2 linked regions of the Ovis aries genome follow. The protein of the gene in region 2 purifies or fractionates together with the protein of the main gene of each other region. This does not show direct contact. Links are inferred from orthologs where the notes say so. Each region holds a gene or a part of one and is shown on either strand. Other genes may lie near its edges.

Region 1 (3,520 bases), on a different chromosome or scaffold from region 2:
CTCTCTGACTGCTCGCTGGGTTGGTTTACAAGCACAGTCAGGCTTTAATCATCCCACCAGTGCTGGGCTGGAGTCTGTCATGCTGCCTTTCCAAACCTCCTCATTTTCCAAAGACAAAGGAAGCAGAAGCATGCATGGCACCCATCTACAGGCAGACACAGAGACACACACGGAAGAGGCCACAAAGGCAAAACAAATCTTTTTAGGGCTTTTAAAAGTCAAAATACGTTGCAGTGCTTGCCATATACAGTGGTTATTTAAAACTTTCTTCTGCAAGACCAATTATCAATGTTTACATTCCTCCAAAATGATGACTTACTAATTTTCAGATAATTAACTAATTGTATTTTCTGTGAGAAACACCTTAGAGGAAAGCCAACAGTTAGAGGAGGCCTAGTACACGCCAAGGCTCTGCACTGAGCTCAGTTAAACCCCCAGCAATGCCATGAGATGGCACGTTCCTCCTGTAGATAAAGACACTGAAACCCGGAAGCACTGAGCTCAGTTAAACCCCCAGCAATGCCATGAGATGGCATGCTCCTCCTGTAGATAAAGACACTGCAACCTGGAAAAGTAAATAGCTTTCCGTCAAGTACCTAGTAAGTAGTAAACACAGTATTTCAAAGTTGTGACTCTTTGTGGCCCCATGAATTGCAGCCCTCCAGGCTCCTCTGTGCATGGGATTTTCCAGGCAAGAATACTGGAGTGGGTTGCCATTTCCTCCTCCAGGGGATCTTCCTGACCCAGGGATCCAACTCATGTCTGTTGCATCGGCAGGCGGGTTCTTTACCACCAGAGTCACCTTATGTACGTATACGTAAGTCGCTCAGTCGTGTCCGACTCTCTGCGACCCCATGGACTGCAGCCTGCCAGGCTCCTCTGTCCATCGGATTTTCCAGGCAAGAATACTGGAGTGGGCTGCCATTTCCTTCTGCAGAGGATCTTCCCAACCCAGGGATCGAACCCAGGTCTCCCGAGTTGTAGGCAGATGCTTTTACCTTCTGAGCCACCAGGGAAGTCGAGAATGTTTCTCTGACTCCAAAGCCACACTCTTCCTACCACATCTTTCTGAATGGACAAAATCACATTCAACGCGAAGATTCAATATATTCCTAATTTCCATTAAGAAAAAGAATCTAAAGGTTTACAAAGTAATCACAACTTTCTAAAGTGCACTTAATTAAGTGTAAAGATGTTAATAAACCAATAATATCACAGATGTCTTAACTCACTTGTTAATTTGCTAATAAGATTCACATAAAATGTCTAATTCCTTAAATTTGTGGCAAACTCTGTATATCCTATCAATGAGGAAAATTAACAACTTCTAATTCTCAAACAACTTCTCTGGATGTTGGTACTTACCCTTTTTCTGTATAAAGATCCTAAGCAGTGGGTTGGCCGTTGAAACAGCTTTGTGATAATTGTCGTCATTATTTATAGGTAGTAAATCGCCATGGATGTCTGCATAGCCTACTAAAACGTCAACATTGGGTATTTTATGAACATGTTGCAGTAATCCATAAAACTCCTCAAACTTTCCAGGTTTTGATCTTTCCAGTGAAAACCGGCGAAATTCAGCTCCAAACTACAAACAAACATATTAATTTTAAAACAGGATCCAATCTTACAAGGCATGACATAGAAAAATTCACAGATACGAGTTTCCTTTAATAAAGAAGACAGTTTCAACCACACAGTCGAAACCTCACTGAAAGTGAAAGTTGCTCAGTCATGTCTGACTCTTTTGCGACCCCATGGACTATACAGTCCATGGAACTCTCCAGGCCAGAATACGGGAGTGGGTAGCCTTTCCCTTCTCCAGGGGATCTTCCCAACCCAAGGATCGAACCAGGTCTCCAGCATTGCAGGCGGATTTGTTACCAGTTGAGCCACCAGGGAAGCCCCTAGAAACCTCATTATCTGGAGATAAAACGGCCTAGGGGAGACACAGAAATGTGCCTGCTCACTGCTGTATCTCTGAAGGGCATCCCCTTCAAGAGATGCAGGTTCGACTTAATCCCCGGGGTACCCAGGCCCCACTGGGGACTGTCCTGCAGAGTGACTCAGCTCAAACAAACCCTGTGTGGAGTCTGGATCCTGACAACAGTCTTCCCTCCTCACTCAGGCCACGGGGTAACAGAGATGAGCCTAAGTCTTTATTTTGACTGTCAGCAAAAAGCATCCAGGTTTCCTCCCCAATCAAAGGAGTAACAGCTTCATAGGAAGTGGCAGGAATTAACTGCAGCACAAGCAAGCAGGACTTTGAACTTCTTGGCAGCAAGGCGCCATATGAATGGAGGCATATTATAGGAGAAATGAGTCTAAAGACAGGAAGTGTCTTCCGTATGTTAATCTTTAAAAAAAGGGCACTTTTATTAATACATTAAATATATGTCGTACAACCGTCCAATTAATGCAAAAGTGTTTATGTGCTTGGCACAGTGCTAGGCCCTAGAGAATGAAAGGCTCGGGCCTGCACCCGAGCTCAGCAATTAGTGGGTAAAGAGAATAATTATATGAGCGGTATTAAGGAACCACACAAACAGGGAGGACGGCACTTCCATCATACCCAGTATTTATCCTCACAATTCTCATACTCACATCTGCTTCCCTACTCTAGAACCCAAATGCCGCATGATTTCGGTGGTTCTTATCTGACACGAAGGACTGGCTTCATCCAGTCCATAACAAACAGGATCTGTGACCTACTATGGAACCAGCACAGCATTTCCTCAAATGTGGAAACCTAAGAAAGATTCATCAGCCTTCCTCAAAAAGTGCCCCAGTCACACACATTTGGGAAATGCTATATAACTATAATCATGCTCTTGGGAATCACTGGGGAGACCAGTTATTAAAGGCGAGGTAAAGCCCTGGCGTTGATTAAAACAGAAAAAATTTTCAAAACAAACTGTGTGCCAAATGCATTTGACCACTGAATTCCTTTTTCCTCTAAGTATCTATTATTGGACAGTAACACTAGCTGTACTACCAACAAGGCCTTAAACATCATGCAGGCAAAGTCCCTACTGGAATTATTTGGTTACAAATGTGTCCGTTCACGTCCCCAAGGGTCCCGTGGGCTCCCTGGATTCACCGCTTTTGTTATGGCAAGTGTATCTGCCTCGCTTATACCCACACTATTTGCTAGTTTTCAATTAAAATGAAAACTCACTGAAACCACCTCTTACTTCTAATAAATTAAAAGTTTCCGAAACACATTCCTCAAACGTAAACACTAACATTTGTCAAGAAAATAAGGTGACTCACACCTAAAGCACTCAAAAAGTTTAGTCACACCTTCACGTTTCAAAGTAAATAAAAACTGAGGAACACCCTTCATATCAGAGTCAGTCTTATGATGTTATCAAAAGTCATAGTTTCTCCTCCATTTTCTTTATTCTGGTATCGCAACATCCCAGTGCATTCTGATTCATCCCCAGGTTTTATTACTTCCCCTGGTGAACGGGAGTAACAGCTAATAATTGAATATTTTAGGGCTGCAATGTTTTTGCTA
Region 2 (2,679 bases):
AGGCATTCTGAGGCTAGGAGACCACGTACCCTGCTGTCCCCACAGGTCTACATGTGGGTGGGATCCCAGACCAGCCAGGTGGAGATCAAGCTGAGCCTGAAGGCCTGCCAGGTGAGCAGGGGAGGAGCCGAGGCTGGGCCTGGCGGAGGGGCCGAGGCTGGGGCTGCCCTCACCAACCCCCTGCCCACCCCCCCAGGTGTACATCCAGCACATGCGCTCCAAGGAGCACGAGCGGCCCCGCCGCCTGCGCCTCGTGCGCAAGGGCAATGAGCAGCACGCCTTCACCCGCTGTTTCCACGCCTGGAGCACCTTCCGCCAGGCCCTGGCCTAAGGCCACCGCACTCCACCTCTATGGAGGGATAAGTGCCCCAGTGCCACCGTCCCCAGCGCCACCAGTGGGGTGACCCTAACCAGTGTCTCCAGGGGTCTGGCAAGGCAATCTCCCTCCACTCTGAGCTCACGTGTGACTTCCCCTCTTCTGCCAGGGATAAAGCAGGTGTGGCTGCCCTTTAAGAGATATTAAATGCTTTTATTTTCAATATTAAAAATCAGTATTTTTAATTTTAAAATGCTAATTTAACAAAAATGACAGAAAAAAAGCCCCCCAAAGTACAATGTACGGGAGACCCATCCTGACCCCCCACCACACACACACGCGCGCACACAAGGCCAGGCCTCGGTCCTGGTTCCCAAGTGGAGCTCTCACACACATACTTGCACGCAGCAGGGGGGTCGAGGGGGTGCTGGCCCAGGAGCAAGTACCAAAATAGTTTTAGAAATGACTGTGGTGCCCGGCACAGGCGTTAGAAAAATACTCTTTGTAAAAGGAGAAGGGGGGACGGCACATGGCCTGGGAGGTGGTAGCCGTGAGCCCTGCGGCCTCCCCTGTGGCGCCTGACCTTCCGGGTGGCCTCTGCCTGCAGGCAGGGCCTGGTGGAGTCCTGAGGCTCAGGGCCAGGCTGGCAAGCCCCACAGAACCCCGAAGTTAGCAGGTGCAGGTCTGCATGGAGAACCAGGCCCCTGGCTCCAGCTCCGAGCAGGGCAGGGTGACCCGGCAGTTCTGGCCTCCCTAGCAGAGAGAAACAAGATCAGCAGAAGACCAGGGAGATCCAACGGGGCAGGCAGCCTGGCCACACGTGTCCCACCACCAGTCTCCAACTGCCTGAACCCCGAGGCAAGGGAGGGGGCAGCAGTGACCCCGGCACAGAGGGAGCCACAGGGTCTGTGTCGGGAGAGGCTGGGGAGGTACTGACTCAGGACCAGGCCACGCACCTGCAGCCTCATTTGATCAGGATGGCACAGGCTCGAGCCTCCTCTTCTGACAGGTTCCGCAGGTTCTTCTCAGATTCCTCTGAGGAGCTGCAGGGAGGGGCAGCGGTCAGCAGATCTGGGGTCAGGCCCTCCTCGGTCCTTCATGCCCAGCTGGGGTATGAGGTTGGCTGAAGGGTTGGGGAGGGAAGTTGGGAGCGACCAGCCCCTCCTGTGGACCCAGCCAGCTCCTCACCCCAGGAAATCCTTTACGTCCTCCACCGTCATGTCCCCCGTTGTGTCCAGTGTGGTGTCGGCACTGGTGGCCGAGTCAATGGACATAGGTGAGAGCATGGCCTCAGGTGGCTCTAGGGTGTCTGCAGGGAGGAAGTGAACAGGGTCCTTCTAGGGCTCCAAGGCCCCGTCCACACTTGACCTGGCCCCAAACCAGCCCACAGTGGACCATGGCACCAACCCACCCCTCCCTGGACCCTCTGGAGAGCTGCCTCCTGCAGAGCACCCCCACCGCCATGAGACAAGCTGCCCAGCTAACGCGCGGCCTCCTCACCAGCCTCCTTGCAGATGGGATCGGGGCTTCCATCACGGCTCTGTGGGGCCAGGATGATGCCCGGGGTCCCGTTAGCCTGGCTCAGCTTGGGCGACTCTCGGGACCTGTGGCTGCAGAGATGGGCTGTGCTGCAGACCCTAGGCAGGCATCTCATGGCCTGAGAACCAGACCCCCGCCCTCCCATTCCTGAGCCCTGGGGCCAGAGGGATGACCGGGGAGGGCCACCCTGCTGCTTGCTCAATTGGGGGATGGAATGAGCCCAGCCTTGATCCCAGCGCTGCAACCCCCGGCCAGGGGCTACCCCTTCATGCACCTGACACAGGTGGCATCACGGGGCCAACGGACGTCCAGAGAGCAGAGTGGCTCGGTGATGTTCCGGGCACTCAAGGAGAAGCGCTCAAACTCCGAGGGAGAAATCAGGTAAAACCCTAGGAGGGGGCAGGAAGCACAGTAAAGGGCCATGTCCCTGCCTCCCGGAAGCCCTGACTGTAGCCGCCTGCCCGCCTCACCCTGGCCATGCCGTGTGAACACGCAGGAGGCGATGCCGCTGATGTCCTCTTTGCGGATGCAGGCATAGTGCACCTGGGGCCGCAGGCCCGGCACAGAGAACACGTGCACGTCACCCAGGTTAGTGAGGCAGGCCAGGCAGGTCTCCGTGTAGTCCTCGCAGGCCACACTGGCAAAGGTAGCCAGGGCCACTTTGCGCACGCGGCAGCCCTCATGGGCTGTCAGCTTGAACTTGGTCTTGGCGCTCACCTTGGGTAGCGTGAACACCTGGAGGTGGGTGGGGAGTGGGTACTAAGCAGAGCCCGGGCCAGTACACACCCCAGTATCCCCAGTCTAGCCTGGCCCCCACCACCTCC

Evidence for each region.
Region 1: the proteins of LLGL1 (region 2) and PARD6B purify together in Homo sapiens (affinity purification with mass spectrometry; 5 studies listed by BioGRID and IntAct, counting the BioPlex papers as one, with this or other methods). This does not show direct contact. The link is inferred for Ovis aries from reciprocal best matches to the Homo sapiens genes LLGL1 and PARD6B.

The regions. Positions count from the first base shown.
Region 1 is NC_056066.1:78,710,553-78,714,072, reverse strand, and holds part of PARD6B (partitioning defective 6 homolog beta), read right to left. Parts: intron 1,589-3,520; coding exon 1,366-1,588; intron 1-1,365. UniProt on the Homo sapiens protein: Adapter protein involved in asymmetrical cell division and cell polarization processes. Probably involved in formation of epithelial tight junctions.
Region 2 is NC_056064.1:34,146,693-34,149,371, forward strand, and holds the end of LLGL1 (lethal(2) giant larvae protein homolog 1), read right to left. Parts: intron 2,591-2,679; coding exon 2,130-2,590; intron 1,927-2,129; coding exon 1,817-1,926; intron 1,626-1,816; coding exon 1,505-1,625; intron 1,360-1,504; coding exon 1,281-1,359; 3' UTR 1,273-1,280; intron 1,070-1,272; 3' UTR 509-1,069; downstream 1-508. Other genes in the region: FLII (protein flightless-1 homolog), read left to right, coding at 46-111, 197-331. UniProt on the Homo sapiens protein: Cortical cytoskeleton protein found in a complex involved in maintaining cell polarity and epithelial integrity. Involved in the regulation of mitotic spindle orientation, proliferation, differentiation and tissue organization of neuroepithelial cells.